Oryzias latipes: one gene and its partner. The protein of the gene in region 1 binds, or shares a complex with, the protein of each later gene. Links are inferred from orthologs where the notes say so. Each region holds a gene or a part of one and is shown on either strand. Other genes may lie near its edges. The genes, in order: tapbpl and orla-uba.

What was found.
Region 2: the proteins of tapbpl (region 1) and orla-uba are in contact, whole or in part, in an NMR structure (PDB 7RNO), measured with the Homo sapiens proteins. The link is inferred for Oryzias latipes from reciprocal best matches to the Homo sapiens genes TAPBPL and MR1. Residues at the interface, in NP_060479.3 of Homo sapiens: His47, Arg48, Gly49, Ala50, Ala52, Ser53, Ser54, Leu129, Met131, Thr132, Glu133, Thr135, Arg228, Gln230, Lys232, Gly233, Arg234, Gly235, Thr280, Ile282, Gln293, Ile295, Gln297, Arg307, Leu308, Ser309, Ile320, Cys321, Asp322, Leu355; in NP_001372090.1 of Homo sapiens: Arg101, Arg104, His105, Asn107, Thr129, Gly130, Phe131, Leu132, Gln133, Ile143, Phe144, Asn145, Asp147, Thr148, Leu152, Ala153, Val154, His159, Thr160, Lys162, Gln163, Ala164, Ala167, Asn168, Gln169, His170, Thr213, Phe214, Pro215, Asp248.

What each region holds. Positions count from the first base shown.
Region 1 is NC_019874.2:20,320,961-20,336,868, reverse strand, and holds tapbpl (tapasin-related protein), read left to right. Parts: upstream 1-2,141; 5' UTR 2,142-2,365; coding exon 2,366-2,411; intron 2,412-3,148; coding exon 3,149-3,361; intron 3,362-3,441; coding exon 3,442-3,711; intron 3,712-3,801; coding exon 3,802-4,005; intron 4,006-4,796; coding exon 4,797-4,964; intron 4,965-5,049; coding exon 5,050-5,147; intron 5,148-5,910; coding exon 5,911-6,136; intron 6,137-6,413; coding exon 6,414-6,481; 3' UTR 6,482-7,428; downstream 7,429-15,908. Other genes in the region: uncharacterized protein LOC101173495, read left to right, coding at 54-420; vesicle-associated membrane protein 2, read right to left, coding at 11,273-11,289, 11,612-11,663, 11,952-12,110, 12,228-12,363, 13,151-13,152. UniProt on the Homo sapiens protein: Component of the antigen processing and presentation pathway, which binds to MHC class I coupled with beta2-microglobulin/B2M. Association between TAPBPR and MHC class I occurs in the absence of a functional peptide-loading complex (PLC).
Region 2 is NC_019869.2:15,982,328-15,999,743, reverse strand, and holds the start of orla-uba (major histocompatibility complex class I-related gene protein-like precursor), read left to right. Parts: upstream 1-7,742; 5' UTR 7,743-7,859; intron 7,860-9,998; 5' UTR 9,999-10,058; coding exon 10,059-10,116; intron 10,117-17,416. UniProt on the Homo sapiens protein: Antigen-presenting molecule specialized in displaying microbial pyrimidine-based metabolites to alpha-beta T cell receptors (TCR) on innate-type mucosal-associated invariant T (MAIT) cells.

The DNA of each region.
Region 1 (15,908 bases):
TGTGTGCTGTTTTGTTTTTATATTCATTCACCACGATTCTTCCCATTTTTCAGACTGGTATCTGGCTTTGGCCTTGTAAATGACAACGGTTCCCGGATTCTAACAAATAGGATGAAATATGTGCAGCTCCCACTGGTGGATCGTAAGAAATGCAACGATTCATTCAATTTGCTAAAGGAAAGAAAGCACAAGGTGCCACACTTGACAAACAACATGTTTTGTGCTGGAACCCCTGAGGGAGGAAAGGATGCATGCCAAGGAGATAGTGGAAGTCCCTTCACCCTGACTGAAAACAAACAGTTCTGGGTAGCTGGAATAGTCAGCTGGGGTGTGGATTGTGGGTTGGCGGGGGCATATGGAGTTTACACCAAAGTGGTTGAGTATCTGGACTGGATCAACAGGACCATGCAGGAAAACTGAAAGTTACAGTTTTGAAACAGCTCAAGTCAAAAGGAAAACAACAGAAATTGATTTAGCCTATTTACAAAAATAAAAAAACTAACTAAACACTTTGCGACTAAATGTTCAGTTGAATGTTTGCCATCGTACTACAACACCTGATCAACTTTAAATAAACTGCTTAAAAATAGAGCCTCTGTTATTTTATGTATCCAAACATTTTTACTTAAATACTAGAAGAACCAGTTTGACAATTTTTGAAATGTTAAATCTCTAAAGTAGACTAACAATTCAAATGTACATTTTTTATTTAGTACTTAACTTATCGTTTGAATGAACATACTTCCTTAAGAAACACAAATATGCACACATATACACACCACACACACACACACACACACACATGCACGTGTATTTTTATTTAAGATTAGCAGCAAGCTCTTGTACTAACTATACAGAGAAGCCAGTTAAAGTATTTATTTGACCAGTAGTCTTATATAGTGTGCTCCTGTTGCAGCTGCGCGAGGCCTTCCCAGGTTTGGATGGTTAAGGATAAGAAAAAACAGATGTGCAAATGGGAAAAAGGAAAAATCACACAAGTCTGCATGAATTTTCAAACCTTTTGTTAAAGGGAGAGCCAGCGGCATCTGCAGAAAGAAGCGCTTCGCCTCTGCTCTGATCTGCTCTGGTCTGAGTCCCCCCCCCTCACAGCTAGCAGGTTTTATAACCCGACATGTGGAAATCAAGGGATGGCATCCAATGGCTCTGTGCTCATCCTTAAAAGCAAGAAAGTTAAGAGACAAGCCGTTCCTGGTACAAATGACAGTTATTACTGCATCCTTTCGGCACAGACAAAAAACTGACGCAGGTTTCAGCGCTTACTTCACAGAATGTTCATGTCTGTAAAGAACCCAGTGAATGCATAATCCTAAAGTATAAAAATTATAATAAAATGCATTATAAGTATAAAGTATAATTAAATGTGTGATAATACAATATGTAGTCGTACTACAATGCTACACTCCCTATTTTATAGTGTGTTTGTCTCTGCAGAAAAAGTGTAATCTCACTTTTGGAAATGCTTAAGCACACAGACCCAAACTGCTGTGATGCGTATGAATGAGCATATGAGGGATTAAAGGTAAAATAATTAAAATGATTTGTCAAAACTTTTTATGGTAGGCCTATAATATGTTAGTTATAATGTAATAATAAGGTTTGAACAGAAAGGCAGTAAGAAGAAAAGAAACAAAAAGAGTTCACTGTGTGACTAAAAGTTAAACAAACTCACAGTTTACCATGACATGAACCAGAATCACAAAACACAAAAAGTTGTTTAAAATATTTTATTTCAAATAGAGTTGTGAAGATTGTGCACTCTTGCTTGGATTTTTAGTGACATTGTCTCAGGTCTTGTCATGTTTTATTTTCTGGTTTTCAGTTCCTCGTTTTTAGGTCATCTGTTTTATCACTCTTTTGCTACTTTTTAGTTTCTGCCATGTTTAAGTTTATTTAATAAATGTTAGAGTTTCTGAGACCAAGCCTCTCTTTTGTTTTACCAATAAACGTCTTTTATTCCCCAAGAAAAAAACAAAACCAAAACGTGTATTTTTGTTTTTGACCCAGCTACCAGTGACGCTTCCCTTCCTGCTCTCTCATTGGACAGTTCCCTCCGGTTGCTTTTTTGCTCGTCCCTTCTCTGAAGCTTGACGGCGCATGCGCGTGAGATGCTAAAAGTCTGTTTTTTCTAAGCATTATAACTTATAGTAACTCGTCCGATTATTAGGTTTTGTCTGTGATGAGCGCGAGAATCGTTTTTTTTAATGAATAGTTTATGAAAAAAGAAAATTAGAGAAACCAATGATGCGTCGTGAGACCTTTTCAAATCAAAAGTGAAAGTGCTGTAGTGTAGTTATTCAGTTATCGTTAATAAATGGGCAAATGACAGGTTAACTTCACTCTGATAATGATTGAAATCATTTTCTTCGGATTGTTCATTACCTGCGTGAATGGTAAGATAGTCTATGTTGGCTTTTTGTTGTAGCATCATCTCGTCACAGTGGATTTAACATAGTTAGAGTCTCCTATTTTCCTTGGGCTTGTTTTTAAAGACCCACTCCAAAAGAAAATTGTGCTTTTCACATATTATTTTTTTAGCTTTTGTTATGTACATCTTTCTGACTCAAAACTGTACTGTTGGATAAACTACTATTTCTAGCCATTTCTGTTTCACCGGTAATATTATGTTGGGTGGTGAGGGTGTGTAAGCAAGCAGGAGAGAGCACACACAAGGGGATGATGGGCAAAGAAGACAAGCTCACTCTGCACCAAGAGTCTCGCCCACATCTTAGAGTTCTAAACAACTACTGCCACTCTGCTGAAACTGTCCCAGAAAACAACATAGGTTCTTTGATTTTGCCTAAAAACGGTATAATCACAATTAAAGATGGTCGTAGTGGGCCTTTAAACCCGAAAAAGTGCTTGATGTGCACCCATTTTCTGAACCCAGCTATTGCATACCTCAATGTAAGCTCAATACAATAAATGCATGAATTGAGAAATAAAACAATATAATTTAGAGAATCAGAAGACTTTTAAGTTACATACTTGTCTCCCTTTCACTTCAAATCTTCAGATTTGATCAACTTTTCACATGAAGCCAGTTTATTAGTGGAGCTTAAATTGACCTTGACTTGTTAAAAGTGGCTGCAGGGTAAAAACAAGTGGACGTGTTCTTGCTGTATTTCAGCTGACGGAGCTGCAGATGTAGTGCTATCCTGTGCCCTGGTGGAGGAGGGGTCTGGACTCAGTGGAATGGAAGGTGGTGCCCTCTTCTCTCGGACGCCAGCCACCCTTGTCCTTCGAGATGTTGCCGTGGGCCCTGAGGAGCCTTTGGAAATGCTCTCTCCATTCGTCCCTCCTTCAGTCCCCGATCCGGAGCTCTTTCTGTTCGAGGCTTCAGGTCTGTCCTATTTTCTTCGTGCATCAACCTAAGTCTTATGCTGGACCTTGTGATGAATGTGTCTCATCCCGCTGTGACAGTGACCTCACCCGACATTCCCAACACAGACCGGTTGCTCCACGCTGATTGCAACGAGCTGGAGGTGTTGTGTGAAATAAGTCGTTACTCTTCTAAGGGGCTGCAGGACAGCTCAGATCAAACTTTTTTCATGGTGTCCATCACAGTGGAGGAGCTGGACTTCAGCATTTCACTCATCCTGGAGACTTTACCAGTGGAAAAGCATCAGTCAACGCTTATGCATAACAAACTGGGTCTACCTCTGAGTCAGTCAGGAACTCTGCTAACCAAAGGTGATATTCAGAATTTTCTGCTATCTTTCCTTTTTTTTTTTAAAGAAGCTGTAATTTTTTCCCTTTTGTCTTTGTCCATTGGTGTTCTAGCTATATTCGTGGTGTTTTCCAACACCAAGTCTTTGTCTGCCCCTCTGAGGGGAAATGTTGTCCTCGACTGTGGCTTCAAGCAGCAAGAAGTACCGTTAGCTCACCAGGTAGATGTGGAATGGCGGCTGCAGCACCGGGGAAAAGGCTGGAAAGTACTCGACTTGAAAACTACGCTGGATGATCCAGAAGGCGTCCATGCAGATGGTGGGCATTGTGAAGACTGAATGAGTTTCCTTCAGCATTTTGAGGAGCAAGCAGGAAAACCCTCGCTGGATTTTAGAGACATGGTGCTGATTTTTAGAAACCGTTTTGCTGCTTTTCATCCAGAGGAACCCTGAAAGTTTATGCTTTATTGTTACTTTTTCATATTTTCAAAAACAAGCTCTCATGTCAGAAATCAAACTGTAGAAATTTTGATGTTTACAATCCTCTTGATAAACATATTTTGGAACTTTGCGTTAAATTTTCCAACAAATATAAAATAACGCTAGAATTAAGCATGTTAAATCTACGGTCTGTTTTTGACAACATTTCCTTACATTTAAATTATATTATCATAAAATACATGTAGATCATCCAAAAAAGTTTATTTATATGTATACAATACGGTAAAAAAAAGTCTGCAAGAGTTTTAAGATTAAAGAAGATTTTATTTATTTTTGTGGTTCCCCTAAAATGAACACATGCTTGAATGCTACTTTAATTGAAAAGTTTTATTATTTATTTAATATTATTTATTAATTTATTTTGCTTTTATTTAAAATAAAATAAAAATCTTGAAGGGGTTAGAAGACAAAAAATATTATTACTTTTATGTTTTTAATCATGTTTGCTGCAACCTACAAGGATGCTCCAAAGTGCAGCGTGAGATCAATTGAATTAATTGTCTGTAGCGGCATCTAGTGGTGGAGTTGCACATTGCAACCAGCTAAAAATCGTATACAGTATTTATATCTAGAATGGACATCATCTAACTCTGGGATTTGTGTCCTCAGTGAATGTGGAGAGGAAAGATTCAAGCATGAATGCTGGGCTGGTTGTCAGAGAGGGGAACGTGTCTCTGACTCTGCCAGCTCTGAAGGTTTCTGATGAGGGGACCTACATCTGCACCGTCAGCATCGGTCACTTCCACGCACAGCAGGTCATTCAGCTCCACATCATTCGTAAGTTTCTTTTTAACACGAGTTCCTATTTCTTATGCATCCAGTTTTAATATCTTTTGTTTGTTTGTTTTTCTTTTTTTTTCAGAACCGCCACATATTTCCCTCTCAGAGGAAAAGTTGATGTTGAAAACACCCCAGACATTAAAGTGCTTCAGCAGAAATTACTATCCACTGGACGCTCAAGTCAGTACTCATTTAGTATTAAAGATTATGGAATATTTACATTTGTTTTAGAATTCTTTAATTCTTTAAGTTCAATTATAGATCTAAAAATTGACTTTAAAGGATTTTATACCTCCATGTTATTATTTGTAGAGCTGAAATTCTTTTAATGAATCGTACTAAAATCTGAGAATAGGCGTGTTCAAAAGGTCTGCCTTATCGCACGAAGCTTTCACTCAAAGCTTAATCAGACACATTTGTACATGACTTTAAGATTTAATACAGTTGTGTTAAATACATATGTACTGAGCTGACAAAGTGATGCAAAAAAAACAAGGATTTACTTTTGTTTTTGCTGTGTTAATGCAAATTTCTCCCCAGCTATGACCTGCCTTCACCCTACAGCAGCTGTGTTAGACTCCATCAACCCTCCACAAAGAAAGATCTCAAGATGGATGGAATTAAACAGATAAATAAATAAAAAGTGTTGCCTAAAAGACTTTTTTTAAATCTTAAAAATGTGTTGTGAGCATCAAAACTTAAAATGGAAACTGAAAATAGTTAACAAATGATTTGCTGCTTTCAAATATTGTTCTTGCTCAGAGAAAATTCCTGCAGTTAAATCACCACAGATGTTTAAACCCTTTAAATTTAACCTTAAAACCTTTCTGTTTGTCCAAGAATATGATCATAATTGTTTGTCTGTCCTTGAAAGAACTCCAACTTTGTCAGAGTGGCGCTTGCCATAGCGATAACAGACAGCTTCTGGTGGTCTCTCTTTCAGATGGAGTGGCTTTTTGTTTCTCCAACTGCCACAGAGCCAGAACTCTTCAAAGACCAGGGCTCCCTAACCAGCCATCGGCAGCATAGTGACGGGACTTTTTCCCTGTCGTCTCACCTCGTTGTGCCTCCCGCCGTCCCCCCAGGAACCAAGATCATCTGCAGGGTGTCTCACGTAGGACTGGATGCTCCTCTCGATGTCAGTGTGTTGGTTGAAACTCCTAAGATAGGTATGTATTTACCACAAATATGACTTTGTAGAGGCTAAAGATATGTTTTGAAATGTTTAAATCAGGTTTTTGAAGTATTTAATTTACTAAATTAGACTGTTAATCAAAGGCCACATGTTCTTATTGGTGAGAAACTTTTCATTTCTTCTGCCTTATGATTCAAAAATAAAGGACAGATTTAAGTTGAATACTTTTCGTTATGGAAAAGTGATTAACATTCACGGCACCTGTGAGTTGATGTCTGCAAATGAATAAATATACTGTATTTCTTCTACAGATTCTTACTGGTGGTTCCTGGGTTTCCTGATCGTCACCATACTTTTTTTCTACCAGGTTATGAAATAAATCATAGCACTTCTGAAATAAAACAGAGGCAAAAATTTGGTTTTACTGTGTCAGTCTTTAAGCAATTCATAGCTTTAAAAAAAATTGAGTTAAAGGTAAACAATAAATGTGTTTTATTGTATTTAATTAATTGTAATTGTTTAATATTGTTTCGTATGCTCAGTTGTACAATTTTATTGTGAATTGTTATCTTGGTAGGGTTAATCCCACCGCTGCAGTTATCGTTCTTTTAATCTCAGGGAACCTAATATTTGGAGTAAAAAAAAAGATCTTAATTTCCTGATTCATCATGAAAGTGCAACATTTTACAAACTACTTACTCACAGAGGAGAAGAGGCATTTCCAACATTCTATCAAATTACTTGACCCTCATCCTTGCATGTTTGACTTTACAAAAACTCAACAAAAAAAAAAAAAACGTTGATATTTGTAGAGAAGGTGCTTGTCATCCTTACATCCTTAAACACTTCCCTGTTAAGTCTAAAGCTATTTCTTTTTATATATATAATGATAAATTCAAGAGATTATAAACTAAACATGGCTCTGCATCCCTACATTCATGTTTTTCTGAGAGCCAACACCGTTTTCTGGTCTGTCCTCGTCTTTTTGTAGTATTAATAGGATTTCTTTATTTTGCCAATGACACTCTAAAGTGTTATTCGGGTTTTTGTTAGTTTACAGTGCAATGCTGAATGGTGAATCAGGAAATCCAATCAAGAGAGACAGGTCCGTCTTTTATTTATTGAAGAACGTTTGTGTTTATTGCTGGGATTTGATGCTTTTCTTCCTGTCAAACATTTATCTGGGCACAGTTCGTCACAAAAATGGGACAGCAGGGTAAAAGTACGTTTTGTGTGCCCAAATAAAATGCATTACATTGTGTGACACTATGACCTTGTGTGTAAACCGACACTGGATTATTAACAAATTAAAGTTTGAAGCTGTGATTATTCTTTTTATTTCAAAAAATTGTACCTGTTCATGTAAAAACCAAGCAGTAAAAATATATTTTTTTTAAAAGCAAAGATTTCAAATCATTTTTTAGGAGACAGCTTCCAGTGGCACATGTTTATTCCTGTCTCCAACCACAGACTTCTTCTTTTTTTTCATGTCTTTTATACATTTAATGTCAGATGTATCATGATTATGGCAAATCCTCTCTAGTAAGACAGGATTTGCCAGAGGTGTAAAATTACATTTTTCTAATTCTTTACCTGTCAAGCAAAGCTAAATTATCTAATTATTTTTTTTAAATTTACCCACCAGGCACAAGATCTCTATTAGATAGCTAATAGACAGCTATAGCTATTGTAGATGTCTGCTGAACATCTCAGACAACTCTATTTTGTTCTATCTACTCTATTTTTAGTCTTTGGTATGACTCGGCTTAGGAATGGAACTCACAACCTTCCAATCTCAGGGTGGACACTCTCCACAATACCACTGAACTGTTTAAGTATTTTTTTTAAACATTTACTAGATATAAAATAAACAATGCAATTTCACAGCCAGTATTATACATGATTTTGTTAACAGATGGCTGAATAGAAATCTCAAAATTTAACATTCCACAAAGAAGCAAACATCTACACTGAACTCTACCTAGGGTCTTGGAAATTTGCATCAAAACAAAAAGAACACATATAAATGCAACTTCATGTATGAACAGCCTATTCCTGCAGAAGAGCACATCTTAAATTTCAATAATCTTATGAATCAAAACCCAACTTGGGACATATACACACAAAAAACTCTTAATAACAATGCAATACTTGAGCAAGTATAGTTTGAAAAGTCACTTGTAACAAAGTGATCCCAGTTTTCGACATCATCAGATTGTTGTTTAGCATTGTGGATCTAATTCTATGCCTCTTTACAAATACTGTCTTCTATTGCATTGACAAAAAGTTGGAAATATGGCCTCTAAAGCACACAAAACAACCATTTACTGGCCTTTTAAATTATTCTTTCTTATTAAATGACCCCAACTTAACTCAAACAATTCTTGAGAAAAATGGCAGCTTGTTTATTAGGCATATGGTAGGATATAACCTCAATGCCATTGGCCGTGGGAAAGTTGTCTGCTGGAGATCAAAACAGTGATGTGCAATAGACCTCCGAGAACTGATGGATGCATAATGCATATCTATAGCTGTAAATGTCAATAAATACCTGATTTAGATATCTAGTTGGATGTGTCTGTGACCTGCGGGTAATTAGGTTACTGGCAAATGAAAAATTTAAGGGGTTAAACGTTTATACATTTTGCCATGAATTCGATTTTTAGCTGGTCTGTGATGAGTAAAATACTCAAATTTCATCAATTCTTCGTGTGAAAACAACTCATGAGTTAATGGAAATAATCTGTTGGCTCCTTTTGAGGTCACTTGCAAAAGCAAGAATTTTTTAACCACCTACAAATATTTTAAAAGAAAATAAAAGTCAGTATTTTATTTTTTTGGTTTTGAATTTAACCTTTTGCCTTTTAAGCATTTATTTGGTAATCTAATTACATTAAGGTTTAATAGTCTCTAATCTCTCAAACTCCACAAAAACAATTTGCTGTGTTTCCTTAAGAAATGTTATATCAGGTCAGTGGTAATTGTTCATGATAAAAATAACCTTTGGATGAAAAGGAAATTTCACATATTTATATACGTAATAGAAATATATTTTTGACTGATTGATACAGGCTTAGTGGGTAACACTTTCACCTTACTGTGAGTAGGCCCTGGTTCAAATCCCGGCTCTTTGATCTTTTCATGGATGTGTGGGTTTTCTCCGGGCTCGTCAACTTCCTCCAACAGTACAAAAACATACTTTTAAAGGTAAACTGGTGACCTTTAGGTTTAAGCGTGAGTGTGTCTGTCTGTCTTTGGCTCTGCAATGCACTGGTGCACGATCCAGGGCGCCCTACGCCTTTGCCCAACAGTCACTCAGTAGACTCTGGAAACCCATTGACACTGAAAAGGACTAAGCAGGTATAGAAAACGGATGATTGGATGGATAAAAATCCACTATGAATGCGGTGCACTTCATGATTTCTTTATTGACATCAGCAAAAGTGATAGACATGCATTTCTATTTTGCAAATCCAGTTGCATTTCATCGTGAATGTTCAGGTCACCAAACCCATTTATTTTTCTTAAATCAGGTTCAATTACCCAACAATATTGATACACAATATATTTCGATACTTCTGGCTTAGCTCTTCAGTTGTGCAGAAATGCACATTGACTTGATATTTTTTCTGTTTCATTAACTTTCAGAATCAGTCCAAAGAAAGAAACCAATCCTAAATTATACAGCAGCCTCCACTTCTAGACCTGAAGGAATTAGTATAAACATTTTCAGCATAAGCTGACTGATGGGTACGATGGTTCCACAAATACAATACTACATGTTATTGACAGTTCATAATAATAGTGTTTGCTTACGGTGTCTGAATATTATTTTTCTCTTACTAAAGCAAGTGGTTCTAACAAAACTTGGCAAACCTGTGAGCATGGTTGCATTATACGTTGCATATGCAGATCTGTTCGATCAGAAAGACGTTGGGATCCCACTAACTGAAGAAAAATGTACAATCGGCAGTAAGAATCAGAAATGGCAGACACAGAGATTACACAAAAGGCAAAACTACAGACACCGTTTGCCATGCAGGTTAGAAACACACACCTCCTTCAGGCCATTGTGGTTCTTCAGGCGACAGATGAGTCCGTTTTTTATTTTTTTTTGTCAGCAGGGGATGGCGAGGCCTGGCTCAGACTTTCCTAATCCTGTTCTTTTTCCCAGCAATCCTGCTGTTTCATAACCATATGGAGACGCACCAAAAAACAAACAAAAAAAAACTGTCCAAACAAGTTAGTTTGATAGGCGATGCTGCATCAGCTTATGGCTGTGACTCTGTCCACACCAGTGATGAGACTTTCCTCTCAGTCCTCTTCATGTGTTTGTGTGGAGATTGTCTGCTTTGTGTTTTTTCATCTTGTATTTTAGATCTAGCATAATGCCACCCAAAACCCCAGGCTAACATTGAGTTTATCTACAAGACTACTTCACTGATAGCTATCGATTCTAAATTAGGTTTCTTATTTATGCAGGACACTCCTACTCAATACTCCTACCACCTCTCCCTGAATCACCTCCTCCTTTCCCAGGTCCCTTTTTTGCATTTCTCCTTTCTTGTAATCTTTTTGCACAAGTTTCTCATGTGACAGGAAGTTGGACAGGAAATGGAAAAAGTTACTGGTAAAAGCTTAAGTTGATTTTGGACAATTTCTCACAAGCAAACAACATAAAGTTTAATAACTTTATCTAACATCGGTTAGTAAGCAGCAATGATTGCAGCAGTCTTGATGAAAGAGAGTCTGTTAGTTAGCAAACAAGAATAACAAAAAAATGAATGAGACAAAGCTTTGGCTTGACTGGACTGGAGACTACAAACTCTTGTTAAATCTCCCATTTTTGTATTTTCCCGTTTGTTCCCCTAAACATCCCTCTATCTCCGTCCTTCTCTTTCACTCTGCCGGATGCAGCCTTCAATAATACATGAGGAGCAGAGACAGGGGAGCACGAAAGAGACCTCATGGAGAACAGGGGAGCAAAGCAACATGAGGAAGAGAGCATCTTTGAAAACTACTGTCATGTTTGATGGAAGGCTGAGAAGATAAGGAAGAAATGGCTGAAAAAAGGGGAGGAGTGGCGCTTGGGTTAGTTCTGGTTTTTCTCCTCATCCCCCCCCCCTACATCCTCCTGAAGTTCATATCCATCTGTGGCGATGGGAGGAGCTCAGTAGAAGAAGTACACTGCAGATGGAGAAAAGAGTGGTCATTAGTGCAATGCAAAGCACATGTCATCTGTTCAGATCCAGACTTGGGTTCTTTCTTTTGGTCAAAATCTAGTGATAAGGTGTAGAACACTGAGGGTTCTGCAAAAAGCTGACAGCGCAAGAAAATGAGGCCTAATTTATTTTTGTTTTATGGAACATTCAGTGTTTAGCAGCACCAATGAAGTGACTCATTTGTGTCATGAGATTTATCACATCGTGTGAACGCGCTACCATAACTGTGGGAGGAGAGCCAGTGAACGTGTTCAGCCACTTTCAAACCAAAGGCACCTTCTACTCACAGAATATTATTCCAACCACAATGACTCCAATGATTCCCATCATGATCATCATCTGAAAAATGAAAACCACAAAAGACGGGTCACCATCTCCAAAAGATCAGAGCAAGTCTGTACAAAATAATATATTTCAGAGTTTCAGGTGAAAACTGGACTAATTGATGGGTTTTCTCTTTCTGCCCTGAAGCATCAGAGCTGCTTCCACAGCAGCTCATTACCACTTTATGTAGTTTTACATGCATTCCTCTGACTTTAAACTGGCATATGCTCAACAGAGATTACAATATAAGTGTCTCTTTGTCAGGAGTCTGTGTAATGGTCCATCACGGACTAATGTGCCCACCTTGCAGTTCTTCCACCAGTATTTATTTTTTAGCTTGGCTGCGCAGCTTTCAAACTGAGAGGCTCCGGCCTGCAGAGCGTCTGCTCTGTCATCCAGCTCTGAAAGCTTCTGGTCTCTTTCCAGAACCTTGTCCACGTTCACGCGCATGATATCCACTACCTGCAAAGGGCAATGCATTTAGTCTGATAAATAAAGGAGACAAGAATACATTGCATTTCCCATTTAACATTTTAGATGATATCTCTTTGACAAAACAGATATTTCAGTCTTGCTTACCTCCTCAACTTGGGCCTGTGTCTGTTGTAGCCTGCGGTTGCTGGACGTGTTGGGTGGGCCGGCTGGAGCTCCATCTGGGCCCGGTGCTCCTGGAGCACCTGGAGCTGCAGCTGGCGGGGCAGCATCTGGAGCAGACCTGAAAAATGGAATTGAAAATATTCTTCACAGTTCTTTTTTAATTATATTTTGCACATATATAACATATATGCTTTCCCTAGATCTTACTAAATTATGTACATGTGCATATTTTTAATGGGTCTGTTTAAAAAAACAATGTAAAATACAACAACAAAAAAAGTTAGATCTGGGTTTCTGCAATGGCTTAAAACTGTTATTATTTTTGGTAAGTAAATTTAAAAACCTCGAAAAAATGTTTGCAAAAAAGCTTCTTGAAAAGCAAAAATTTAGGAAAAAAAGAGGGGTTAAGAGATGCAATGGAGAACAAAAATGGTGTAAAAATAAATAAAAAAACTGAATAAATGAAGAACATATGATGAAGTGGAGAATAATAAAAATATACATTGATGACCACAAAAACAATGGTTGGACGGTGATAGAGATGATGTATAAAGCAAGAAGCACAGAGAACTTCTCATCCAAAAAGCATTCATCTGTTTAAGACAAAAATTTGGATTGAAAAAAAGTCCCAGGTTGGTTTAAGTGGTGACAGCAGTTACCCTCAGAATAAAGAATGAATAATTCACCAGAGCTCAGACAGAAATTTTCACTTGCGTCAGCAGAAACCATCAAGGGAATAAAAGAAATAAAAAGGAAGGGTCTAACAGTTTCACTTTGAGGAAAAAGAAATACATTCAAATAATCTAGATTAATCATGACCTGGCTGTGCTTATTAGTTAATGTATGTGTGTGTGTGTGTGGGGGGGGGGGGGGGGGGGCAGCAGGAAAGCCGCATTAATACTCACATCTTCTATGCAGCTGTTAGAACGGACTCACAGCGGCGGAGGAGGGGCGGCTGGAGAGGGGAGGGTCTGAAGTGGATGGAGGGGTAAAAAAAAAAGAAAAGACCCCAAAGATTTTTTTAAAAGATGCAAATTTGCAGGCAATTGCAGTCCAAACAAAAGGCAGAACTTTTAATCAGCAAAGAGGCTGGAGGAAGTGAGGGCGGAGGGTCTTCTTGGCGCAGTGGAGCAGATCTTTTCCAGCGAGTCTTTGAGTCATCAAAGTACCGCAGTACAGTAAACAGGTCGGGTGATAACCCACCAAAGGAAGCTAGGAGAGATGGAGGGGAAGGGGATCACTTGTAAATCCTAATCCGCTCCGGAGAAACGCGGATGCGGAGTCCCGCGCGCTGCATCCAGCTCCTCCAAGAGATGCTGAGTGTGCTGAGCTGCTCCTGGATGCTGACTGAGACGCGACGCTGATTGGCTCGCGGTGCAGTCGCCTCTTCTCAGATCTCTCCAAAAGGGAAATTAAAGAGAAAAGAAAATCCCGCAGTTTCAAATCCGAGCAGGAAAAGTACAGAGGTGACAAATGTGCAGTCTGACTTTCATCCCTCCTCTTCCTCTTTGAGTGGTTTTGCCCGCGCTAAGTGTTACGGCGCTGTGGACAACTGCAATGATGCGTCTCTCCTGCTCCCTTCTTCACTTGGACTTGTAACGACGGTGCAGTCCCCCCTCCCCTCTCCTCCTCTGCCTCCCCTCACACTTTGCAGTGCTGCAGCTCTCCGTGTCGGATGGGGCGGCGGGACGACACTGCGGTACAGTGGAAAATCTACTGTGTTGACTCCACGGTTTTCATCTCTGGACGGGATTGCCCCACTTTTTGCCCTCCTCCCGCATCACATTCCTCCCTTAACACGACTGATTCCTGTATCCTTCTCATACGCCATGATGTTTCCATTTTTATAAATGGGAGAAGTGAGGGAACTAAGCCTTGAAAATACATAAAATGCCCATAAGTGTTTAGATTGAGTAAACTGCATTTAAGCCTTATAGATCAAATTGTTTGTTTGGGCTTTAAATTAAACTGAAGCAAGTCTTTTATATTTCGTTTTTTGTGTATTTTCCTGCAACTATATAATCTAATTGTTATTATCACTTCCTGAATGAATGCAAACCATCAAGGATCTTTATAGCTATAAAAAAAATGGAGAAGTTGTCGTATATTTTTGTTTGGGAAATGTTGTGATGAAAGGGGGGCTGGTAAGCTTGGTAAGATCATTTTTTTCTTCATTGTAAGATTTTTTTTGTCAATTTAAAGAAAATCTGCCACTTATTTAAATGGTAAATGGCGTATACTTATATAGCGCTTTCTACCTTCTTATGAGGGTCCAAAGCGCTTTACAGTCACAGTATAGGGGCATTGTTTTGCATTGTACCAAATACTTTTGATTTTCATTCCTAAGTTCAAGTTTTAACTAGATATAATTAGATATTGATTTGTATTTGTTTGACAGTTTCATACAAAAGCTCATTGTTTTGGGACAGAAAAGGTTTTTATTCAATTCAATTCAATTTTATTTGTATGGCCCAATTGCACAACAACAGTCGTCTCAATGGGCTTCGTATTGTTGAACTAACTAAAGTTAGGTGGAACTCTCATTAATAGAAGCAATAATTTTTACATTTTAAAGTGGTACAAAATCTTTTTTTTTTGCCTGAAATACTTTGTTCTATGAGATTCATAAAAATTGATTCGTTTTTTTAATCCCACTCCCAATACATCAGTAAGACCCTGCAAGAGGAAATATAGGGAAACTGTATTTTGGATATATAAGAGAATATAAGTTTAATATTTGCTGGCTCCGAGACACATTGCAGATATTATATAGGTAATTAAGATTGTTTTTTTGTGAGCCAAGAACTAGACACATTTAGAAAGGCGCAATAAATTATTTATGAATTTCATTTAACTTCCATCTTGATTTTCTCTTCTCTGCTGAACCAGTCCTTCCTGCAATAAAGCAGCCAATAGCATTGTGCCATCGCCATGGTTAAAATTTAGATGATGTTCTTAAGTCCAGCCCTTCCATGCCAAACAGTAATATTCTTTGGAAGAAATTGAATATTAATTTTATTTTATTCCAGAACATAGAAGATCTTCACAAATAGTATTTTTACTACTGCATGTTTCAAACCTTTCAAATAAAAAAATGTATTTCAGTTATGAATCCTGTTCCTCTGCTCTCATGTCCTATTCAATCATCTGTCTTTTGACTGAAGAAATTGAAGTTTTTGTTTTTTTCCAGTCTTCCTCTATCCCTCTTTTGAAAGTACATGAACAGAAATACACAATTCTATCCAAATATCCCACCTTCATCCTCTTTTTGACAATTGCCATACTTTTGTTCTTAAAACATTTTACTCTGGAAAATCTATGCAAACATGTTTTTTTTGTTTAAATATTTTATTTTTTAAATTTGGATTATGAAAAGCTTCCTCTGTGCATCTTTTTCAAGAAACTATTTTATTCTTCTGCTTTTTTTTTCACAGCAGCTATTTGATTGAGATCCATTTCCACAATTTGCCAAGAACTCTCAATGTGCATTTTCAAGCTTTTCTGGTATCTGACTGCTGATGTTACATTAACATTTTTAATTATTGCTTCTATTTTGACTTCACTTAAAAAGAGCTCATGCAAACATTTAAACCTGCTGAAGCTTATCTAAAAGGCAGGATGAGAAATTAATGCTGATGTGGGACTTTTGTCCCTGGATGGAGA
Region 2 (17,416 bases), on another chromosome or scaffold:
AGGAAGGGGTTCACTTCACACTGAGGCTTCTTGATGGAGCCGCGGGGCGGGTTGAAAGAGCGGTGGCACAGAGTTTCAGCGGGGTCTGAGGACAAAAGAGAGAAACAATCATAGAATATGATTTCTGATCATCATGGAAGGTTTTTTTGACGATAATAATGACAAACAGACGACAGTCATTTGTTCACAGTCCAGCAGAACTGACCTGTAATGACGTAGATCCTGTCGGGGTTGATGTCAGACGGAGCTCGGCTGGACGCTGCGCCGTCGTCACGCTCATCTTTCCTGATGTGAAGCAGAGTTTTTTCCTGAGTCGTGGCTCCAGCTAAACCTCCACCTCGACCCACTTTCTCCTGGACAAACCAGCACTCCAACAGCGGGCAGCTGCTGCTGCTGCTGCTGCAGGCTGCAGACGGGAGACCAGGAACAGCACAACACGGGAATATAGGTTACAACACGTGTTCATGCTTTGTAAATGAGAACTTTTAGTGCTTTACCAAGAGTTGTAACTAAGTGATAATACAGAGCCACAAGTTAGAATAAAATAATCAAAAAATGAAATAAAAACTGGCTTTATAATGCAAAACTAAAACTGCTATAACCTGAAATTAAAAACAAAAGTAAAAGTGAGTTTCTGTGGTCAAATAAAGATATCTGAACAGTTTAGCAATAATTTATGCTTCATTTATCTGCAGTTTAAATATTTTTATTATCTAGTGGAAAATAAATTATGACAAACAGAAACAGATGGAAAACCTTTAACCCAAAGCATTTTAGCCTAATTTGTTTATGTATTTAGTTTGTACTAGTGTTTTTAGTGACTACATGAGCCTTCAATGTACCTTTAAAAGTTTTCGTGTTTTTTTTTTAAGTTTTACTGAGACACGTAGCAGGAACTTTATTATTTAAACTTAAAGGTTTTTTCCCACTAAACTCCTTAAATAAATATACGTTTTCAAGTAATTCACCCTCACAACCATCATACAACAACATTATTAGAGATATTATAGAAATTAATTTGAAGTTTTCATAAATTCGGCAAACAATCGGCTCACAAAAGAACTATTTGATTTTTAAACGAAAGTTTGACCCAAAACACTTAACAGCATAATTGTTGTTCTTCGCTGCTTTGCTGACGTAAAGCTTGATTCTTTCTAATGTTCCATTAGTAAACAAACTCTTTTTGTAAGTATATTTATCACAGCAGCTGCGTATATGAAACTCGTTTCAGTTTTGTGCGTTTTCTTTGACGGAAGAACGCTGTTCTCTTACCGTGGATGAAGCACCAAAGCGCCACCAGGGAAAGTTTATAAATGGTAGAAAAGTCCGTCATGTTTTTATGTGTCCCATCGACTTTAACTCACGTCTCATCTGTTCTTTTACTCGCTGCAGATCATTAGAGCAGCTGGTTTTCCCCAAAAATATATGCTAGCTCTTTTAGTTTCACTTTCACCTTCAACATGCTAGCGTTAGCGCATAGAGATTTTCACATCAATAAGAATAAAAAGAAAAAAACGAAGAGCAAAATTTGTATAATTGATAATTTAAAAGCAAATATTTAAATTATGTACTTCGAAAAAATGAACAAATAAAATAAAAACAAACTAAAACATAATGCTAACAACGAGTCATCAGGCACCAGACCGCTAGGTGGCGCCACGACCAAAGACATAGACCAGGGGTCGGCAACCCATCGTTTCGGAGCCAAGTGTGGCTCTTTCATCCATCTGTTGTGGCTCCCTGTGACTTTGGAAAATAATGAGTATTTTATAATAATTACATTTTTTTAGTTTGTTCATTTTTCATGGCATTTCAAAGGCGCTGATGGCTCCATACGAAGCGCGAGCCACGTAAAAAACAGCTTCGTAATGAGCTCGTATTTATCGGGCGAGACCTGCAGAGCTGATAGCAGGGAGAGGCACGCGGGGCGGCTTCAATAGACCTTTTTCGCAAAAACCGGAAGTACGTCATCAACGTGTAAACCTAGTTCCGGTTTGTGCTTCGCTGGCGGAGGAATGGCAGAGCCTAGAGTGTTTTCGAAGAGCCTGAGTTGTGTTCCGAAGTTCACCAGCACCGATGTGATGAAGAGTGTGAAGATGCAATCGTCCACTAAAGGAAACAAATTGGACATGGGATATAAATTCGTCCACGAAGAGTTTATCCACCATTACCAAGGTAAGCTTCAGCTAGCTTTAGCCATAGCCGCATCACCGGTAACTCTGTGTGTTTACGTCAACTGTAAATCCTGGTGTTATTAATTTGTAATATAAGGCATCGCAGTGAATATGTTGTGTGTATGTTTAAGTGAAAAGGCATGAGATTAACATAACACCCAAAAATTTGGTGAAGCTGTAAATAAGAAATGTTAAGTTGCCCGTATGCGTGTTCATTTTGCTGCGGTTGCGGCACTTTCTTCACTTACTAGTATTATTTTTCTGAAAGTATGGTGAGCAGAAGTCCTCTTTTCCTGGACATGTCCTCTCTTTTGATACTTATATAATAAAATAACATTGAACATAGATGAAATGTAATTATATTTGCTTCATGTATGCAGCTCTGAACACCAATTACTCTCGATGAAATATCTCACAAACTCACTTCACTCCTCTTTTTTACAAACTCAAATCTGGTCACCCTATTGACAGTTATAGTTTCATGTCATTCTGAACATTGATGTAGCAACATAAGTATGTCCTAATTTTAACCTATATAATTTATTGTGTCTAGATATCACTGGACGCAGAAAGTGCCAACCTGAAAGCTTTCGTCTGCAGTTGTGTGGCTGCTAAAGGATTTTGCAATCACATAGTTGCCATCCTGTTCCAGACCGCACATTATTCACAGCTGGGTCTGCAGGCTGCTCCACCCCCCTGGCCTGCACGAGTGGCTTGCAAAGATGGCACAGGTGGGTTTGTGATCATATTGTCATTATTTTTTAAGAACGTATGTGTATCCATAACAACTCTAAATTATTATAAAAACACCCCAAGTAGTTACTACAGACTTTAATTGCTTTCTGCCTTTTACTTATAAGGGAATCCATCCTGAACCGGTTAGTGAGCTGATGGTGCAAAAACCCAAAACAGTTGGCAGGGACGGTCAGAGGTCCACACTGTACAAGGCATACAGGTGATTAACTTTTTGTTGCTTTGTGAGCAAGTTAAGTTTTTTTTTTTTTAATCTTATGACTAACCAAATTATGGTTACAGCAGATATAATGAATTAAATTGAAATGTAGTTATGCACTTATGTCTAACTTTTGTGTGTTGTGTTTCTCTTGTGTAGGACCACAGCCAGATCCATATGATGGCATCTGGAAGCAGATTATGCCAGGTGCAGCCCCAACCTCTCATGGTTGTGTTGGATGGGTTTCTGAGATGGAATGAAAGAGAACTTGGATATATATTGTGGCAAATGCATGAATGCACACCTTAAATTACACTTATCTTGTCTTTAACAATCAGTTCAGCCTTCTGTCTTACTGTTGATCTGTAATGTTATTTTTTATTGTAAATGTTTGATGTTATTTGCATACCAAAAAATTAAACGAGGCACAATTTTGACCAAAATTGTTTTATTTGTTCATCTAATTTTTTTGTGTAGTCAGTCACATTTCAACAGAAAAATATTACGAATATAACAATTATATTTAATTAGATTTTAAGAATATGTGGAAACACTAAATTTTTCCATACTATTTGCACATTATACATTATTTACATACCAAACATTAATTCACTCTTCAAAACAAAAAAGTCCATGATAATTTGCCAAAACACGGCGGTTAAGCCAGATCTGATTCACACTGCCCATCAGTGTGAGCGGCACAGAGAGTTCCTGATGTGAAAGGACTTTATCCTACTGATCACTCTTTCCACCATAATTCTGAGGCGGGTGATGGCTGCGGTTTGTTCTGTTTCCTCCTTGCTGAATTGAGCTGAAAGCTTAAAAGGTGGAATATTGATCTTAGATCCAATGTCAGTTAGGAGGTCTTGAACGAGGAACTTTTGTCCGCCATGACATCGTCTCCTGGCTCCAGCAAAGGAACTTGGCTTCTAAGTCATGGATGTAATCCAAAGCCTCATCCAGAGCACCTGTGAAGATAAAGAAATTAAAAATCAGTCTTAATATATTAATGCTACCTTTCAACACAACACAGTAATCATGTTTTGAAAAGTATGTTAAGTATTTAATTACAAATACATTTCATTTATTTTTGTTAAGGAAATTACAAAATGACAAAATGCTCAAAAGTGATTAAATACATGTAATTAAAATAGGTGAGAGCATGAACATCTTTTATTATAAATATTAATTTGTTCAGGTAGAAATGCATGTATCCAATAACGGTACACATAGTTGACTAACGTTAACCAAACACATTATGAACAACCTTACCTGCAGGTGGGTGTGTCACGTAGTCGTGATCCATCTTTACTGTCTTAGCTTAGCCACCATGTCGCTATCTTCACAGCTTAGCTGCATAGCCTGACGTTTGAGGTTCTGTCATATTCTGACTCCCTTCTCAAAGGATCAGTAAAGTTGTTCCAAGGGAAAATACTCGGGGCAACACCACTCTTCAGGCGACGAACGACGCAGCCGCACCACAATCCCGGAGCGAAGTTAGTAAGTGCCGGCAGCAGAGGGTGCTACCTGTGTTTACATTAAAACTATGCCCTTCATCTCTTCGGATCGCCTATATCCATTTGGGTTTCAGGTTTAGATCCACAGGAAAATAATGAAATGAAAGGTAAGGCTGTTTTTGGTTGGAAGACGAACAGCCTGGAACGCAACAGAGACTGCAACTCTTCGACTCTGCCATTCTTCATATCTGCTGCTACGCTAACAGGAAGTTGTTTTACATGTCATTGACGTATTTCCGGTCGAAAAATGCGGAAGTGTGAAAAAGGTCTATAAACACTCCGATCTTCTGCCGGGAACTTGACGTACCGCGGGGCAGAGACCAACTCGCTGATGACAGACTGAGAGTTCGCGCCAGTGTTGCCAGATAGAGTCACAGTTTTCCAGCCCAAAAGTCATCTGAAAACCGCCAGACCCAGCCAAAAACCGCCCAACACAAGTTTTGATTATGTTTTTTCCCCGTACTGGACTGATAAAATGAAAAAAAATTCTAAATAAAAGATAGTTCAGACTAATAATAAAATGTGTACAATATTGAATATTTCTTCAGCGGGCCGCCTTCTTCCATTCATTTGCTTAACCCGCTATATCCCCGCTAAAACCTGCGTCCGGCTCTTTCATCCTTGTGCTGTGCTGGAGCGCCCCGAATACCGTATTTTGCGCTCTCTTGTGTAAAATACACCGAGGAGCGCGGGGGAAACAACTCTCAGCTGCAGAGGATGTGAACAGGTGAACAGGTAGAGAGGAAAAGCAGGTGGAGAGGCGGAGGAGGGGCTTTGGATCAAACTCTGTCAGAGAGATGCAAACACGGGCATCAGATTGAGACGCAGCTTTCACTGCAGGAGTTGAAGCAGAGACTTTCCCTGGGATGATTTTATGAACTCAAACATGGAAACATGATTACCAAGTAGAACTCTTCAAAATAATAAACCTGATCTCTCCACATTCTCAGTGTCTACCATGCATTGACAAACACATCGCTCCATGCAGCGATCAGACCAGAACCAGTAGCTCCTCCCACACGCGACCGCGGTATCATCCTTTAAAGAACATAATGTGCATTTGCAGCGACGTATGCTTCAGACGATGTCCGATTGGCCAATCTACATGTCAATCAAGTCCCTTACTTCTCAGTGAGGATTTTGATTGGCTGGTGGATTTTAAAGAAGTACTTTTTTTTTAATCTTTTCTGGCCCGCGATCTACACTCATGTCATTGAAGGTCGACCGGTAGATCGCGATCGACGTAATGAGCACCTTTGAATAATATATACATGCATAATATATATAATGATGTCAAAACGGGTTGTGGCTCCGAGTGCTTTCTTTTTTATTAGGGGCGGTCCCAAATGGCTCTTTGAGTAAAAAAGGTTGCCGACCCCTGACATAGACAGTGGACACAAAAACAAATTTTTGGCACAAATGGAACCTCATACAAATGGAACCTCATAGCGCCACACATCAAGGAATAAAACAGGTTCACATCTAGGAAGCATCCCAAAACAATTTACCGTAGTTTATTCAATTAGCTTGTTTAAAAATGTAATATAAAAGGATTAAAAATATATATATTGACTTTTCCATTCATGATCAGAGTCTTTTTATTACGTGTTTTAGAGCTTTCACTTTTATAGTTATCCTTCAGAAGTAAACAACGGTTGAGGCGAGGCCGTGAATTCTTCCTATTGGAATCCAGCCCGTGAGGACAGGGGTCACCTGAGGACAAAAGGAGCAAAAACAATGGAAACATGTTTTTAAATCTACGAATAAATTTAACTCACAGCGCTCTTGTTTTAATGTTTAATTTAAACGTCTAGTGTAAAAGTAATATTTTTTAACTTAAAAGTTGTCAAACTTTTCAGGCAAATCTTCCTTGCCGCATGAAAGCCTGTGCAAACCCTTTTTAAGATAAGATAATACCAATTGGGACCATTGGGAGTTAGGTCATCTAGACCCAGTAGACAGTGCTCTGAACCTTTTCTTTCTTCAATGATTTGTGATCTTCACTGGTGGTCATGGATTACATGAAATCTTTCCACCTTTATCCACCTTTGTCATGGTAGGGAGAACACTGTAAGGGTGGAGTCATCTAAGATAACACAACGGATAAAGTAAGAACAACAAAATATTTTATGTTAAATTTGAAAGAAAACTGCCAATCACACTACTATGGGTGAGAATTTATTGCCTCTTTCTTGCTGTTTTCAGTGCCTGTCTGTGGAAATATGATGTAAGACAAGTACAACAAGAAGCCTCTTCGTCCTTGCAAAAGCCACCAAGGTAACAAACACACCTATATGCAATTTCCTGGTTAGAGTGCAGACTGAATGCCCTTTCATCAAAACCAAAGACTGATCAGCTGACTTACCAGAAACAGACAGGAGCTGACTGTTTGTGACCAGAGGAGGAGCTTTTGTTCTACTGAAAAGGTTTTGTGGTTTCAAACTTCCCTGTTTTAGATAATTAGTTTAAAGTAAACAATTTAAATAAGAGGGGACAGAACCTTAGATGTGGTTTAACTTTACCATCAAGGTTTGCTTTTGAATACACTTTTTGAACTTTATAGCATCAAATGCAGTTTAATGTACTTTGTAAAAATATATATTATTACTTTATGTTTGTCTTAAGTAATAAAATAGTCATAAAATCAATCCATTGTGTGTCCTGTGTTACTGTTGCCCAAAACAAAACATAAAGCAAAAAGTATTGGAGTAGGGGCATCCTGTTTGTTTTTGATCCTTTATTAAATATTGTTAATCTTACAACTTTTCTCCCCTTCATTTTGTGGACCATATCTTCTCTTGGATAAAAGATTGTGGTGCAGCAAACATCAGGTTTAAAAATAGAAATTACAATCATATTTATTTCTAAGCTGCTTCTAACTGTTCTAAAATAAAGTCGCATATACACCCAAGGATGTGGCAAATTACATCTGCAAACAACAAAGACCACATGACCTAAGAATCGTGTTCTTGCACTTCAAGTACGTTATCAACCTCTCTGACGGCTTTTTGCCTAGACACAAGTGACGTAAAGTCATCGTGTAATTTTCATTGGTCCAAAATAAAAACAGGAGTTCCGGTCTAGGTCTCGTCAGGAGAAGTTCCATAATACAGTCTGGTTTTCCATGAAGAAGCAGGAAATACGAACAATGTAACCGCACAACAGTGATTACCCTTCTTTTTCTGATTTTTAGTGGAATACACAGAGCAGTGGCAGGTGAGTTTATAGTGAATGGGTAGATTTGGGTTATTTATATAATTGTCTAATTAAAGTTGTGTGGCTCTGCGATGGACTTGTCTTGTGCTTGTGGGCTCGTGGTTGTCCTCGCCTATCTGATGGGTTAGCCTTCAGAACACCATGATGATCCAACAACTACTTTAGACATTTCTTTCAAAATTACAGTCATAAGTCATATATGTGTGTGTTTTTTGTTTATTATGGGTCCATCTGTTGTCTCTTTATAAGAACACTTAAAGATGAAATGGAATAACAATTGTTTGTTTTTAGTTAAAATACAGGAAAAAAAATGTTTTTTTGCTTTCGCTTTTGGCTGATGTTATTTGAAACTGAAGGGAATTTACATTGACGACACATAAGATGTACATTGCTGCATTGCCCATATGTATTTTAAGTGCTTTTAATGTTAAATTTGGTTGGTCACACATTTCTAAAGGGTTATTATGAACCCTAACCTTAAACAAAATAAGTGTGGTAAGAAAAAGCTTTAGCACTGGCGGCAAGTATTTAGAAAATTATCATGTGTGCGAAAAGTTTCTTTCTTTGCTTTTAGCTTTTCTTTTTATGACACTTGTTTATTTATTTTATTTTTAATTGTTTTAACCTCTTAGTTGTTGATTCGAATGTTTTTGAGCTTTTATTGTACAGGGCTTTGTTTGACTGACGTCAGTTCATTATAGATAAATTAATTACATTAAACTTCTCTTCTGTTCTAATTATCAGTATGAGATCCGGGAAAAATAAGTCTTTAGACACAAGTTAAAGAGGTTGAAATACTGTGAAGCAGCAGTAAGTCAAAAATGTTAGCATTATTTCCTCTCTTTCTGTTAGAATAGACATAGACAAATAACAATGACAAACAACGTTATCAGTACATTTGATAAACATCTACCGGTAGTTTTTATCATAGGACACCATTTTTCATCTCCATTTATAGTCTGAAGGGTATTTCTGCTGACCTTGTCCAACAAAAGTCGAGAATGTTATAAACGTTTTATTTTAAAATTAATTCATTTAAAATTTATTTTAAATGATTTTAATTGATCACTCAACTACAAAAACCTTGCAGGCTTGCAGTCAGTACAGTATTGCATTTCCAGCTGCGTTCGCTCAGGTTGGGGCCTTACTTCTCCCGCCCCTTTCTCCTAATATTTTTGTGATGATTGACAGGTGATGTTGAAGCAAAAGCAAAAACATACGTCACACACCTGGTGATCTGTTGCTGCGTTGCGTCCACCTGAGTGATCTCAAACATGCTTATTGTGCATCTTGGCTGCACATATTTGGTGTCTCCAACATGAATCTCCATCCGTTTTTTATAAAAATGTAGGAGTAGCTGACCGGCTGCTCTACAATAACTTGTGACTGGGGTTTAAATGTGCAAAAAGTCATAAGATAGAAAATCCAAAAATGTTTACTGAATTTTGTTTCTCCTTTACTGATTTGTGGTTTAAAGAGTAAACTTAAAAAAAAAAAACATTCAACACAGACTCAGAATTGGGAGCACATCCTCTCTGACATCTCCACCTTCAATTTCAATGAGTCCAAGTACAGTCCAGACTTAATGAAAATCATCTTTAAGCCACACTGAGGGTCTCAGTTTGGGAGGAAGTGTTGCCAAGTGTCCAGCAGTAAGAAGAAGACAATAGAAGAACCATTGATGGATTTACAGAACTGTAGAATTGAAGTCTTCTTTAGTGTTTAATAGTTAGAATTCAACAGTGTTAACTGAACTGTGTTAAAAATGATGTTTAAATGAGAAAACAGCAGATATGGAAGATTAAATAAACAGAAATGTATTACTGATTTATTTACTTATTGATTTTTTATTAACATATTTAATTTGAATTAGAGTTTTATAAGTAAATTTTGTGCAGAAAACAGTTAACAATAGAGTATAGTTAACAGTATAGTACATGTTCCATACAAATTTATTGGCTCTCAGACACTCACTAGTTGAGTGTGTGTGTGTGTGCGTTGAAGTTGCGGCCCTCGCTCAGCTAGACCCTGCGTTCATTGGCCCCCAGGCAAATTGAGTTTGAGACCCCTGGTTTAGATCATAGTCACGTGCTCCGACTCTGACGTTTCATTCAATTATTCTCTGATCTTTTGATCCAGAACCCAAGGAACAGATTCTAAACAGGAAAGTGTCAGACTGAGATCATCAGAAGATCCAGAATGAAGATCCAGATGTTTCTGTGTTTTCTGGGACTGAGTTTCCACAGCGCTGCTGCAGGTCAGTCACCAGTTTTTAACCTTTTGATTTGATTTTGAACTGTTTGTGTTTTTATCAATCATTTTGTTCCATAGGAATTTTTGTTTCTTCTTCTTCAATATAATTAAACCGATGAGGTTATTTATATAAAAGTGAAAGAGTTTAAATCTAGAGCGACGTCACTGAAGTCTGTTTTTATTTAGTAAATCTCTGTTTATAACCAAATCGGCCGGCAAGATCATGGCGGTGACTGGTTTCTTTATCGAGCACCGAGCACCTAACTTATTTATTGAGCTTTTTTGAAGCAGCAAGATTTACCTTTTCCTGAACACGATCGGGAAACGTTCTGGATTGTATTTTTTGGATACATTCTACAAATTCCCACCGTTCAAAACGCCAAAATCTGCAAAAAGAAGCTCCGCTAGCTTGTTTTTATGTTAACCGACGAGCACAGTTCGGTAAGTTAGAAATATATTCACAGATTTGGACTTCCGGCCTCAATAACTCTTCTGATAAACATTAAAAAATGTGATAGCAGTTATCTCAATGCATTTGTATTAACACAGATAGGGAACTACAAATGCATGCCAAAAGAAAAAAGTTCGGGTTTTTTTTTTGCCTTTTGATCACAATTGTTCTCTTCGAGGTGTAAATGCAGACATGCAGCGAGCCAGCTGCCAAGCGACCGTTAACAAAGTGCAACCTCTGTGCAACACTTTTCTATAAAAATCAATAATCTTTTAAAAAGCGAAAATATCTACATTTATATGAACTGGTAATGAAGACCTGTCAGCATATTCATGCTACAATAAATATTTTGTGAGAAAGTCCATCTTTATTATATTTGATTGCATACATTTTTCACATTTTATTAGATGTATGAATCATAAATAAAATGAACAACAGCTTTAAAAATACTGAAGCTACAGTCACCATACTTCCTTTACCGACTAATTATGACCTTACTGTCCGACTACAACACAGATTTGGTCAGATATCCACTTTGTTTATTTTTAGGAATTTTTCATATAGAAATATGGTTCATATTTTGTCAAAAATGTTTAATAACTCTGAAAGTTCTGAAGCTACATTCACCAAAATCTTTGTACTGAGTAATCATGACTTGATTGGGTAAAATTATATTTAGAGAAGAAACTATTTATTTCAAAATTTGTCTGTGAACAAACTTTACTTGTAATTTCATCAAAAGGATTACTTCTGAGTACACTCCAGTGTTACTAGTAAGGAAGTTGGTTGAAAAGTAATGAAAAGTCTGTAAAGAAAGTTTGGTAACAGAAGCTTTCAGTATTTTCAGAGCTATTAAACATTTTTGACACAATATGATCCACATTTCTATATGAAAAATTCCTAAAAAACAAACAAAGTGGATTTCTGACCAAATCTTTGTTGTAGTCGGACAATAAGGTCACGATTAGTCAGTACAGGAAGTTTGGTGACTGTAGCTTCAGTATTTTTAAAGCTGTTGTTCATTTTAATTATGATTCCTACGTCTACTAAAAGGTGAAAAATGTATGCAATAACTTTTTTTTTTTTTTAAACTTGTCCTGTCCAACAGCTAGGTAGGCAGATAAGAGCTGAGGGCCTCTTGTGTTGGACATATTTTACTTTAACAAGAGGGGTTATTAATCTTCAGACAAACCAAAGGTGTGACTGGACAAACCCCTTTTGTAATTGAGGCCAAACTTTATTCATTTCAACCATGATTGAAAATCTTTGGTGTTGGACCGGACGGAAAAGGAAAGAAGGGAAGAAGAGGGAGGGATGTCGGGGGGGGGGGGGGGGGATAGTGAGAGGGGGGGGTAAGACCATGAAGCAACATAGAGCAGACAGGTTTACTGGTTGTTTATCATTACGGTACAGTTCAAATGTAGTTCAAAAAGGGCGGGGCCTGTCCACACACACACTCAAATATTATCAACACACCTGCTAACTGCAAAAAAAGTTCACATGTCAACATGTACACAAAACAGATAGTGTTCACGAACGCATACCTTTGCCTTTAAACCAACTAGTGTGAAATCTTTCATTCATTCAATCATGCAAACTATAAGTGCAAAGGTGAGCTAACACCTGTGCTCAGGTGGGTGTTTATGTTCTTCTAAAATGGATAGTGGAATGTGAAAAGAAGGAGGAGGAGCGCCCAGCCACCCCCACACCCAGACCCCCGCCCCAGCAGCAGCGGCAGCCGGAATTCCCCCAACGCCACACGGGAACAGGCAGGGAACAACCGCCCCCCGGGCGACCAAGACCGCCACCCAGGCCAGGGCCAGCAGGACCGCCGCGAGGCCCCCAGAGCCAGAGAGCAGGGAGGCGCGGAGGGAAAGAGAGCGCCGCCCCAGCCCAGCCAGGAAAGCAGCCCCCCCGCCGCGCCGGAAGAGCCCAACGCAGGGCCCCACCGGAGAAGGACGCCCACAGCCCCAGACGAGCACCCCACCACCACCCAGGAGTTCCGGGCATCCCCCTGCCCCAACCCCAGGTACGAGCCAGGACCCCCCAAGGGAGACCCGCTCCGCACTCCAGGCAGCCACCCACCCGGCCCACGGTTGGTCCAGGGAGGGGCAAGGCAGGGGCCTGCCGCCCCCGCCCAGGAGGGGGGAGCCCCGGGGAAAAAAGGGTGGCCCACAAGGGGTGTTATAAATATGGCCTGACCAGGCTCGGCCATGTTGGAAGTTTGGCGGGGCCCAGCGCTCAGGGGCAAGGACCAGGACCCGCCCCCCAGGGACACGAACACCCCCGGCTCAGGTGTAGTATGAACCCCCCCACCGTGCGGAGAGAGCACCGCCGGGCCCAGGGAGCCGGCACCCAAGGGACACGGCCGCCATCGCCAAGATGCCTGCACCCCCCACCAGGGAAGGGGTAGGGGACAGATGGACCCAGGTCCCACCTTCCTTGCAAAATGTGTGTGCGTGTATGTGTGTTTGAGAGGGTGTGTGTGTGCATGTGTGTGTGTTTATGTTGGAATGCATATATTGAAGGGGGAGGGGTGTGTGTACTAAGGGGGGTGCAGTTAAAATTGGCGAGTAGGGCACTGAGGGGACATCTCCTGATTACTCACAGTGATGTCCCCTCACCCTCCCCACCAAGGGGCCCTAAATGTCTAAGGTTAAATTTGGCGGGTAGGGTGCCAGGAGGACATCTGCTGCTTGCTTGCACTGATGTCCAAGCACCCCCCCTACCAAGGACCCTACATGTCTAAGGTGCAAATAAATGCGAAAGAGGGGGGGCCCACTCCATACGGCAACCATAGGAGGGGGGCCACTGCCAAGTAGCCCCCCCCCCAAGGCGCATCGCAGGCAAGACCCCCCACCCCCTCACCCTAATATGAGGTTATATGAGGAAGGGGGTAAGTTGGGGACAGCTGGTAGACTGTCCCCAGGTGGTCAAACAGCTGTCCCCCAGCCCCCCCCCAGCAAAGGGGCCAGGGCCACCCAGCCCAGGGGCCCCACCCCCGGAGGCGCCGACACCCCAGGCCCGGCACCACCCACCCCACACAGAGAGAGAGGAGCCAGAAAGCGTCCCCCCCCCCCCCCGGAGCAAGCCCAGGCCCCCACCCCCAGACGCCGGCCCTAGAGGAGCTCTGGTCAGGCCTTGATGGGACCGAGGAGGCCAACCGGCCGAGGCAACCACTGATTGCCTCAGCGGAGACCCCGACCCGCTAGCCCCCCCGACCCGTACCAATAATGCCCCCCCCTCCCCCCCCAGAACGCCCCCCCACAGGACAGGGCCGACAAACCCCCCACCCCACCCCACCCCAGACCCCGCAGCCGAAGCGGGTGACACCCAGAGCGACCGGGGGCCCCGAGAGGGTTGTCCCGTCCCGTCCCAGAGCCAGGGAAGGGCCGATCCCAGCCCCAGGTGCAGATGGGCAGCCCATCCGGCGCCGCAGGGCCCCCCGCCAACCCCCCCCAGCACAGGCAAAGGGACCACCCCCCCAAGCCAAGCCAGACCACCACCCCACCCCCCCACCACGCACCACCACACCCAAGCCCAGAGGACCACGCAGCGCCCCAGCCCGCCACACCCAGGCACCGGACCCGACCCCCCGACCAACGGAGCCCCCACCGCCCCCGCCAGGCACCGGAGGCCCCGACCCCCACCCCAAACCACAGCAGAAGGGCAAGGAGCAGCGACGACCAAGCCCCCCACCCCCCTAAGTCATGAAGTCAACCACAGGAGACCAGAGAGACTGAATTCTTTCAAAGTTACTTGAGCTTTGGGCTGACATTTTTTCCAAGCTGATATGATCAAACAGCAGATTTCTGTGTTGACTTATGTTTATATGTTTCTTGTTTTTCCAATTTATTAAAATCGTTTTTTTGGCAATACAAAGAGTTATGAAAATGATAGATGCTAATCCTTCTTTTATATCGATGGCACTCATGTCACCAAGCACACAAAGTGACGGTGAGGCCGTGATTGAAACCTTAAGCCAGACTGATAAATCGGCACATACCTGCTGCCAGAGAGCCTGGACAGGAGTGCAGAACCACAGTGCGTGCATGTAGCTGTCGGGTAGATTATTATCACAGTACTCGCAAATGTCTGAGTTACTGAGACCCATCTTGAACATCCTCTGTCCAGTGTAGTAAATTCTGTGAAGAGTTTTGAGATGGATTAGCTGCAGATTTGGACTTTTTGTCAGTTTAAAGGTGTTTAGACAGAGTTCTGACCAGAAGCTTTCAACTGTGCTGATGCTCAAATCTGCATCCCATTTTTTTGTTGGAAGGGCAATATTGTTATCTAAATTACATAAAAGTTTGTATATTTTGGAGAGAGTTCTATTCATTGAAAAATTAATCAGAGTGGTAACTACATCTGGTAGCTTTAAATTGTCGTCTTTAAATTTATACTTTTTAGTAATACTTGATTTAAGTTGCTGATATTCCAAGAAGTTATTTATTCCATGTTTGTCTTGAAGTTCCTGGGGAGTTATGAATCTTCTATCAATGCAATAAAATATAATTGAAATGCATTTGTAGTTCACTATCTGGGTTAATACAAAAGGATTGAGATACTTGCTATCACATTTTTTAATGTTTATCAGAAGAGTTATTGAGGTCGGAAGTCCAAATCTGTGAATATCTTTCTAACTTTACCGAACTAAGGAGCATGGCTGCTCTGGCAGCAGCATGGACATACCCGTGACTTCGGAGGAGGAATTTCCTTCACTCCCAGTGACCCCAAGTAAGCCTCCCCTTGCTAAAAGGCTTACTATGCCCTGGTCCACGAAGTCTGATGATGCAGTTAATATGCTCGCCGAACAACAACAATCAATCAAGAAGTGATGCTTTTGAAAAAATGGTTAAAACCGTCTGTTCCGAAATCAAACTCATAAATGACAAAGTTGATGTTATGGAAAAACGTGTGGAGAAAAATGAGGAATCTACATCGAGATGCTTGGCGCAGGATGCAGATCTGGAAGCTTATGGTCGTCGATGGAATCTGGGGCTTTATGGCCTTCCTGTGGCTGAAAGAGGAAACCGTGCGTGAGGAGGTGATCAGCATTTGCCATCACGTTTTGCTGGAAGGTTTCATGATGCTGTTGATGTTGCTCATCGGATTGGAAGAAAACGCCAGGAGGACCCAAGGCCTCGAGGTATTCTAATCAGATTCATCTCCCGGCGCCTGAAGGAGGAGGTTTGGAGAACGGCCAAGAAGAACGGATTTCTCCAAGCTAAAGACTTGGGCTTCAACGAGGACTTAACAAAAGAGGACAGGGAGTGTCGGCAGAAGCTGTTGCCTAAAATCAAAAAAGCACATGAGGAGGGAAAGGCGACTTACTTCCTGGGAGGCCGTGGATTTATTAATGGGTCAGAAGTGCACCATGAAAAGAGAAAGATGAAGGGGGAAAAAAAGAGAAATTCTCTTTTTTTTTTTGTATTTTTTTCTCAACCATGTGAGGAGTCCTGTGTGTTCTCTGCATTATCAGGAACTTTCCCCCTTCTCAAATCCCTTTTCAGTTTTATATTTGAGTTGATTCCCTCTTGTTTTGTTTTTGTTGGGGGGTCGGAATGGGGGATGGGGGTCGCAAAGGGAGGAAGAAGAAGGGGCATGAGAGAGAAAAGGAAAATAAAAACCTTAAGAGTTTAACATTTTTGTGAACTAAAGCTGCTAAAATGGATTCAATAGTGCTGTTCTTGATATTGCACTATTTTTTAAATATTCTTATAGTGTTTATAAAACATAACTTGTTTTCTGTGTGTTGTTTATTCTAGTTAATCTGTTTACTCTATCTTCTGTTTCTTTTTATGCCAGGGGACTACGCAATAATGTTAAGCTCAAAGCTTTATTTCTTTTTGCAATTTCACTCAGATCTCTGTTATTTACAAGAGTCTCATTGGATATCTGATGATACCAAATTCTGGAAGTGTCAGTGGGGTAACTCTTTATGGTTTTCACAGGGTACAGAGCGATCAGCTGGGGTAACAACTCTAAAAAATATCTGTAGTGGGGACATTTTACTTACTAAAAGTGATCCATCAGGTCATTATATTTGCCAACTACTACAATGTGATAATAATATTGTTATTTCAGCCAACATTTATGGATACAACACTGTCAAAGAAAATGATCAACTTCTTATCTCTATAGAAAATTTACTGTTAGAATGGTTAGAAAATTTTCCCAAAAAGGATCATATTATTGGGGGGTGACTTCAATAATGTCCCACATAATAATGTAGATAGGTGGCCTCCTCGTGGGCTAGATGGAAGCAACACCAAGCTAAAGAATTTTATAGAGAAATTTGACCTCCATGATAGATGGAGAAGGAAAAATCCTGATGTCAAATGCTTTACATGGAGTAACAAAACTGGTACAAATAAGTCCAGAATTGACTTTTGGTTGGTCTCAAAAAGTGTCATAATTATTAAGATAAAGTTGTCCACCAAGTTTTGTGGCCCGCATTCAGCTTATTGGAAACTGAATAGCTCTGTTTTACTGGATGACTGTTAAAAAACAAGTCAAAAGACAAATAGCACAATTTTTGGTCTAAAGTTAATATAGACAAGAAATTTGGTGTATACTGGGAGGTTTTTAAATTTGAAATGGGTAAATATCTTAGAAAAGTAAGTAGTGATAAGGCTAAAAGTAGAAGAGCATGTGAGGTAAATGTCATTTCAAAAATTACTCACTTGTGTCAAAATAATCCTGACACACTATCAGATGTAGTTAAACTCCAACTCTCAAACCTTCAAACTGAATTGGATAATTTATATCTTCAAAAAACCAAGCCAGCTTTTTTGAAACCACGATCAAGATGGCTTGAAAACGCTGAACAAAATTCACATTATTGTTTTAA